Linked DNA regions of Coturnix japonica. The protein of the gene in region 1 binds, or shares a complex with, the protein of each later gene. Links are inferred from orthologs where the notes say so. Each region holds a gene or a part of one and is shown in the gene's direction. Other genes may lie near its edges. The genes, in order: TAF1B and POLR2F.

What was found.
Region 2: TAF1B (region 1) and POLR2F share a complex: the UniProt entries of both Homo sapiens proteins name them as parts of the pol I pre-initiation complex. The link is inferred for Coturnix japonica from reciprocal best matches to the Homo sapiens genes TAF1B and POLR2F.

What each region holds. Positions count from the first base shown.
Region 1 is NC_029518.1:87,994,784-87,998,596, forward strand, and holds part of TAF1B (TATA box-binding protein-associated factor RNA polymerase I subunit B), read left to right. Parts: intron 1-1,742; coding exon 1,743-1,833; intron 1,834-2,285; coding exon 2,286-2,356; intron 2,357-3,813. UniProt on the Homo sapiens protein: Component of RNA polymerase I core factor complex that acts as a GTF2B/TFIIB-like factor and plays a key role in multiple steps during transcription initiation such as pre-initiation complex (PIC) assembly and postpolymerase recruitment events in polymerase I (Pol I) transcription.
Region 2 is NC_029516.1:46,598,704-46,603,170, reverse strand, and holds the start of POLR2F (DNA-directed RNA polymerases I, II, and III subunit RPABC2), read left to right. Parts: upstream 1-1,481; 5' UTR 1,482-1,578; coding exon 1,579-1,598; intron 1,599-1,904; coding exon 1,905-1,974; intron 1,975-2,063; coding exon 2,064-2,194; intron 2,195-3,631; coding exon 3,632-3,703; intron 3,704-4,467. Other genes in the region: C1H22orf23 (UPF0193 protein EVG1), read right to left, coding at 424-609, 1,078-1,140, 1,340-1,418. UniProt on the Homo sapiens protein: DNA-dependent RNA polymerase catalyzes the transcription of DNA into RNA using the four ribonucleoside triphosphates as substrates.

The sequences.
Region 1 (3,813 bases):
TTTTTTTTTTCCACCTTTGAAACCTTCAGGTGCCAAACAATTCCTGTGCTGTGTTCTGTTGTCCCGTTCTTCAGCTGTTGGAGCGGCAGGCAGCTGATGTGATGGTGTTCTGTTCGGGCACTGATCAGTGCCAGAGCTCAGCACTGCCCCTGGCACTTGACCAAGCTTAGTGTGCTCAGATGAATAATAGCTGATACTGCACTGTAACGATCCAGCATATCTGGCATATTGTACTTGCAATACAGCCATCCTCTCTCTAGTCTTTTTCTTTTGCTGTATAAAATATTTCAGCTCCTACATCTCAAGACAGCCTGGAAGCAGTTGTAGCTGTAGCTTCCTTGCGTGTGTCTGTGAGTGTATGTTCTGCAGACTGCACATGTACACAATGCTGTTTATGCTCAAATAAAATGTGATTGAGGTATGTGTATATGTGTGAGTGCATCACAGAGCTGTGCATTTGCCAGTTGACTCAGCCGTGTCGATGCAGGACTAGCAGTACCAGCCACGTGGACGGTTAGTGTCATGTCCCTGACAGTGGGCTTCCTTGTGACAGATGTTGGAATAATTTGTATTAAGTTAAATACAAAAATTATTTTCTTCCCACAGGCCAACCTCCCAGCACCCTCTGTGCAGAGGAGTTCGAAACAGAACTTTATCCATGTCATTGCATTTTAATAACTGACGGGTCTTTCTTCCCCTTGTTTGTCCATTTCAGGCCAGCTGTAGTTCTTGTTTGTAAGGCCTCTTGTGGCAGGATAACTTGAGTAGCAAAAGCATAGAAGACATACAGAACTTTGCTTATAAGAACAGTATATTCACCTTCAGAACAGTTTGCCAGCTAGCTCTTTAGAAGTGAGCATGATGCAAGCATCCTTGCAGAGCAGCTGGGGTGATGGGGAAATGCAAAGCCTGGTTAATTCATGATGCAGATAATACACCCACGGATAATAAGAGTTGGTTATTTAAATTTACCCTGCACCATAGTTCTGTTCACAGTTCTTATACTTATTGTACCCTGTTGATCTACTTCAATCCTGTGCCTCTCTGGAGTATCAGTGGTAAACATGCTGCTGGAATGACTTATGCCTTAACGTTTTTGCATGCACTGCTATGTATTTGTTCACATATCAATGAGTGAGAATCCAGTGTATGTGGGACGCTGGTACTCAGTGAATACAATTGTCTGGATTATCCTTCTTGCCTTGCAACATCTCATGGGCAGCAGGATGGATGGTGTGGGGTTGGGGGTTGGACTCGATGATCTCTAGAGGTCCCTTCCAACCCCTACAATTCTGTGATTCTGTGACACTGCTTCACCTCCTACATCTGAGCTTCAGAATTTGTTTAGAACTAAGCTTCTACAGTTTCATGAATTCCTTGAAGTCAGATTTCAAGCAGAGGAAGAAGACCAGTTAGTGTTGTGGAGATCTAGTTCTGGTAGCAATTACACTTAACTTTCAGAAAGGAGGGAGAAGGATTAACTTGTCTAAAACTAGGAAACATATTCTGAGCAGAGGTGTTTCTTCCCACCTCTTATGCTGTTCCTTTCTAGTATTTCTGCTTTTCATTTTCTCTGTCTTACAGAAATGTTGGGTTAAGTGTGTTTTCTATAAGCAGATGGAATTAAAGATTTGCCTACAGACGGGAGATGCAGAGTCCAACTGCATGGTGACCACATTCTATGTATCACATTTCTTTCACTCCTTCACAACCTAAAACTAAATTACGAATGTTTTATTCAGGTGGCCCTTATTTCGAGTTCAAAAAGTGGTACAAGGTTATAAAATGTACCTTGGATGTGGAGCAAAAAAAACTGGATGAAGAAAAGGCCAAGTAAGAGATTTTTAAGTACTGGATAATGATAATAGCAATATTAAGGTAGATGATTGTAAGTGAAATCCTGACCCCCCACAGGAGCTGAAAAAGTTTGGACTTTGCTCCAATGTTCCCATCCTGCACATTTAGGTGAACAGTGATTCCATCCGTGTCTCAATTTTCTGTTTACAATAATGATATTTATCCAGCATGTTGATTAAACACTGTCTGTGACAAGTAGCTTATATAATTGAACAATTAACTGATCACAGTGAATCTAGGCTTACATTCCTCCATTTATCTATGCAGAAAAAGGCTGCTGTATGTTTTGGAGGAGGTGTCTTTTAATGGTGTTAACAACAGATTATTTTGTTTTTATTTTAATAGCTGTATCTAATTAAGAAATTACGATTTGACTTGCTTTTTCTAGTTTTCTTTTTCCTAACAGTTTTTATTTCTCTTACTTGTAGGTATCTGTGGAAATGTGAAAAGCCCCTGTTTTATTCACTCAAGAAGAAATCTAAAATCCTTAGGAAAAGACGTGAGTAAACTCCACCTCTTTCCGCCAGCACAGAAGTCTGCCCCAACTTTTCCCATCATAGAAATTCTGACTGTAATAATATTTACATCTTAAAATACTTTCCCTTCAGTCTTTCATCTCTGGGCACAATGAATGTTGTACTGTTTTACAACCCGTGGCTGGAATTCTTCAATCAGACGTTTTCCTACTGCTTAACTGAAACTGCAGCCTTCACAGTGATCTACTTAATGTAGTCTCAGAGTTAGTACTTTGTCCTCATCTCACTCATCTGTCAGCTGCCTTCGTATTACTGTGCTCTTCATAATTTTTTGTTGATCTTCCATGGCTTTTCAGCTCCTCTCTCTTTCCACGTATATATCACGTTTGTCCTTGGGTAGACCCTCCTGTCCCTCTTTTCTCCTAGTTACTCTTGCAGTCTTCTACAGAAGGTGAGAAGGATTTCTCTGAGTGTGGTTTTGCTTGAACAGCTGGTTGTTCATGGTCAGAATGAAGATCCCTTCCTTTTAATATATATGGAAGTATAAATTAATTACTTGGTTTGGAAGGGACCTTAAAGATCATCTAGTCCGAGCTCCCTGCCATAGGCAGGGCTGCCACACTTCAGATCAGGAACCCAGTGACTGGGTTTTACTATTCCATTTAAAACAAACAAAAAATCCACCAAACAGAAACAAACAAACAAAACCAACAGAGACTGCACTCATCCTTGTAAATAGGAAAACAGGAATTTTATTAAACTAAATAAAACCTGAGGTTCTTCATTCTACTTTTGATAGTAGTAAGCAACAGGTAGTGGGAGAGAGGTGTTAATGTGGCAAGTGATGTTTTTCTCCTTAGATACTCTTCCCGTTTCTGGAAGCGACTGATCCAGGAACTTTTAAGCTCGTTATTATACTCCTGTTTAGTTTGAATAATTCATGTTAGACTTACTGTGCAAGAATGCATTGGGTTTTTAGTAATGTTTTTATCCTTCAAAATTCTGTAGTGGTGATGTCGCAGTTAAGTCACATTCTGGGTAAAAACAGATTTGTTTATTTCATTCTGAAATGGTTTCCTCAGGAGCAATTTAGTTCCCTTGTCAATAGGAAAAATGAAAAACCATTTGTTGTTCATTAATTCCATGCCACTTTATATTCTCCGTCTGGATCTTGTTCTCTTTGAGATAGGAAAGAACCAACGGGATCATTGAGTTATTGCAGCCAGGAATCTCACATCATATCATTTCAACAAGGCAAGATTCATCTTAAGTTTTAAATAGTAGAGACAAGGAATGCCTATACAAAGAGTCCCCTAGAACCATACTTGATCTGGTGTTAATGCAGTTTGTACATTTGGCTCATTATTTCTGGACAGTTTTCCTGTTCCTGTTCTGGAAGTTTCTTTTGCCTATAATAGCTTTTTACCCTTTCTATCATTTAGCATATGCTTACATGGAAGATACAGGTTACAAAAACCTT
Region 2 (4,467 bases), on another chromosome or scaffold:
TTAGCAGCATGTCTCCTCAGCAAGGAGCTGCCTGCCCTGCTTTGCTGTTAACGATGGCAGAGGAAGCATGATGTAAGTGACAGCACAGCCCCAGACTGAACTCTGCTACACATGGTAATGGGCAAACCAGTCTGAGCTCTAAAGTTTCACCCTTGTTTACAAGCTAGAAAATTACACAGTGATCTCTTCTTACAAAGGATTGTGCAAGTTCCTGTCACCTATTGTCCCCCTGGGCAGCAGGCAGAACTCTGTGAGCATTTGCAGCAGGCGCTCCCTCAGAGATCTCCCTTTAAAGCATCTTTGAAGACAGAAAGCATGAAGAATAATTAAGGATATTCCCTAAAGGTGCTGAGGGGTTAGACATAAGGGAAAGAGAAGAACTGGACAGCATGATTTATTTATCTGTGATGTTTGCTTACTTACGCCTTGCCTGTGGCCTGAATTTCTCTCGGATGTAGGCATCTCCTGCTCGGCAGACCTCAGCAGGCCGAAGATGGGGTTTAGCTGGCAGCTTGCTTGGCTGATGGCACGGTGGGGAGGAAGCAGGAGGCGCGAGCACTTGTTCTTGGCTGGAGGTAGGGTGGCATTGGAGGGGCAGAGAATCTCCCCCTGGAGAACAAACCCAACATATTGATGTCAGATGCAGAGGAGTCTGGGCAAGTGGCCCCAGCCTACCACCAGCAGAAGGTCATAAAACCATAAAATGGCTTAAGTTGGAAAGGACCTCAAAGACCACCCTGTTCCAACCTCCTGCCATTGGTAGGGCTTCCATCCACCAGGTCAAGCTGCTCAACTTGGCTTTGGGCACCTCCAGAGGTGGGGCACCCACAGCTTCTCTGGGCAGCCTGTGCCAGCACCTCACCACCCTCTCAGTGAAAAATTTCTCCCTAATATCTAACCTAAATTTCCCCTCTTTTAGTTTAAAGCCATTCCCCCTTGTCCTGTCACCATTACGCAGTGTAAAAAGTCCATCTCCATCCTTGTAAGCTTCCCTCAAGTACTAGAAGGCCGCAGTGCAAGCAGCAGAGAGCGTTCAGCACAGTGCTGGGGAAGGAGTGCCAGGTGGGAAGCACTCACGCCTCAAACAGTCCATCAGGAATCGCCTCTGGAAACTCGTCAGCTTCGACTCCTCCATCAGGGCTAAAAAACAACAGCTACGTGTTACTACACAGCACAGTGGGCTGCCCCGGCCCCGCAGAGCCCAGGACACGGCCCAGGACAGGACCCAGGACAGGATCCAGGACAGAGCCCAGCACAGGGCCCAGCACAGGACCCAGGACAGGGCCCACAACCGCCTTCCCCGAGTCCCCGCGGCCTTCCATCCCTCATAACCCGTTACCTCTCAGCACCTCTCGTGTCTCGGGGCTGTACCGGGCTCTGCCTCTTCCCGCTGGCCTCGTTCCCGTCGATAAGGCCATGGCTGGTGGCGACGGTGGGAGAACAATTAGGGACAGCGGGGCAGGCGGAGCCGCGTCCTGTCTCTGTGGCAACGGCGCCGCCGGTTTACTTCCGGAAACGTGACGTCACGGCGCACGACCGGAAGTGGGTAGTACTTCCGCCGGGGAGCGAGGAAACAAGATGTCGGACAACGAGGACAAGTGAGAGTGGGGCTGAGGCTGAGGCTGAGGCTGAGGCTGAGGCTGAGGCTGAGGCTGAGGCTGAGGCTGAGGCTGAGGCTGAGGCTGAGGCTGAGGCTGAGGCTGAGGGCTGAGGGCTGAGGGCTGAGGGCTGAGGGCTGAGGGCTGAGGGCTGAGGGCTGAGGGCTGAGGCTGAGGGCTGAGGGCTGAGGCTGGGGGCTGGGATCAGAGATCAAAGCCTGGACTTAGAGACGGTCCAGCGCTAAGTCCGAGTCCAGGCGCTGTCTCCCGGCCTGTGTGCGATGTGTGCTTGCCTGTCTCTCACAGCTTCGATGGGGATGACTTCGATGATGTGGAGGAAGACGAGGGGCTGGATGACCTGGAGAACGTGGAGGAGGTGGGTGCTCTGCGGGGCTCCGATCATGGATCATTCCGGGTCATGGAGTCAGCCCGTAACGGTGCTGTGTCGTGCTGTGCTTTACCCAGGAGGGACAGGAGAACGTGGAGATCCTCCCCTCCGGAGAGCGCCAGGCAGCGAACCAGAAGCGAATCACCACCCCCTACATGACCAAGTATGAGAGAGCCAGAGTGCTGGGCACACGTGCCCTCCAGATCGCGTGAGTATTAGCTGGATCCCTGCTGTAGGACTGTGTGCTTCTCATGGCTTGACCTGTTAAAGCTCCTTCCTTTCTCCCTAAAGCCTTAAGTGATTCTTTACCTGGCGGTTCCGCTTGGGAATCGCCATCTCCATCAACAGTGAAAAGCAATAAAAAGCAATACTGTGAGCTGTCAGCCACACGTGAGTTCTGAATCTCACCCCAGCTGATGCTGTGGGTCACAAGCAGATGGAGTGGGTAACGTGGCATTCTGGTTCTGCTTTCTGCCTTCTATAAGGCAGCCAGCATGAGCTGGGAAACTCAGAACTACTACTGCAAAGTTCAGCTTTGAGGAAGCTGAATAAAAGTAATAAAGTAATATCATTAATTATTATCACAAGGCTATCAGAACTCTAGGAATGGCACAGCTGTCTTGAAATACTAAGCATACGGTTATATTGTGGCACACTGTATGTTCACTAACTATTTGGAATAGTGGAGCATCACTTCTAATAGGTAATAACATTTAAATCCTCTTTTAAGCACTCCTTAAGACAAGTTCCTCTCAAATTCTTCCTTTTATCTGTCCAGATCTGTTTTAGTAATGCCTGCTAAAACCTTTGTGATCTTTGAGAAACTGCTGTGTAAGTGAGATGATTAGGCTGTGTTGAAATTGGTCTGAAAGGAATCTTAGCTACATCCACCCTGAAAATGAAGCTGATTCGATTACCACCAATGAGCTTCTATGTGATCTTTGCTTAATCATCACTTTGCTGAGCTATTCTTCGCCTGGTTATCACTCCAGGAAGGAATTCTGTGCATGTTGTTTCAACTGGTGGCAGGCCAGAAGGATGGAAGAGATGGGATGAGCCAGTGCCAGGCATTTAATACAAAACACTGGTGCCTGGTCTCTATCACCTCCGTATTCTGTTGACTATTGATGTTGACTCTAGGCCAGCAGCAGCCCCCCAGTGGCTTTACCCACACATAATGTGAACTTCTGTTGCTTCTGCTGCCACCTGAGACAGTTGTCAACTGTGTTTGCTTTACTGTTACAGCCCTCACCAAAACGCATTTGTTTTTTTGCTCTAGAGATAGAGTGCATTATAAATCTAGCCCTTTGTTTTCCTTTGAAGGAAGCCTTGAAGATTCAAGCAAGTCAGATTCCCATTTTATAGTGTTCCAACTCTATTATTTTTAATTTTAGATCTGCCCTTATTCTTCACATATAAGTACAGCACAGTGAGACTAGACAGGTGTGGTTCTGACCAGCACTCAAGTCCCAGCTGACTTGCAGAGGATGAGGGGTGGATTAAGAGCATTCAAATGAAAACTCAATCCGTAGCCACTTGGGGATAACCTTTGTCCCAGAGTGGATAAGAGTGCAGCATGCAGTCATATGTTGGCCCTTCTGTCTTTCTGTACATTCTCTGAAATGGCTGTTGCTGTTTGTCCCAGGATGTGTGCACCCGTGATGGTGGAGCTGGAAGGAGAGACAGACCCCTTGCTGATTGCCATGAAAGAACTCAAGTAAGTCCCAGCCTTAGGCAGTGTATGTATTGTTTTCTACAAAGCAAGCTATCCTCTGCTTATCTCAGCACTTTACAACTTATTCCATGCAGTATATTCTAAGACAACCTTCTTTTTTTATCAACCACGGTGAGTTCTGCAGTTTCCTTCCACTTTTCCTCCTTGGACCTTCTCCACAGCTTCTCCCATCCTAGGAGTTCTTGCTGATGATGAGCAGTGCTCTGACCTCTTTTTATATAAGAGTCATTTCTATGATGAGAACCAAAGATCCCCATAAGGAATCAGTTTAATTCTCTGAAAGGAATTAATTTGAAGCAGCCTTCTGAACAGACCTGTGCTCAGATGAATTGCTGACTTAAATAAACAAAACTGGGGTCAGGGTGGTGATGTGGAGACTCTGGTCAGAATGTTGTTTCACTGCACCCTTCTATACTTGGCTTATTGTGCTGGCAGGAGACGCACCTCTTGCATACAGAGAGATTGATTTGAACCTTTTCTGGCAGTTTCTGGATCACTGCTTAGAGGCCCACAGCAGAGTGCCCTGGTGGCACACAGTTTGCCAGTGTAGAAAGCAGGTTACTATGTTGCATGCAGGTAATCTTCAAGCAGAGTAACTGGATTCCTTTACATACTGGGTTCTCAAATTGATTTGTCCCTCTGCTCAGTGCATTGCAGTTGCTCTTGCAGACTTTATCTATTACAGCTCCCTTTGCTGTTGCCAAAACCCCATGGGTTGTGCTCCAGTCAGATCTCCAAGTTCAGCC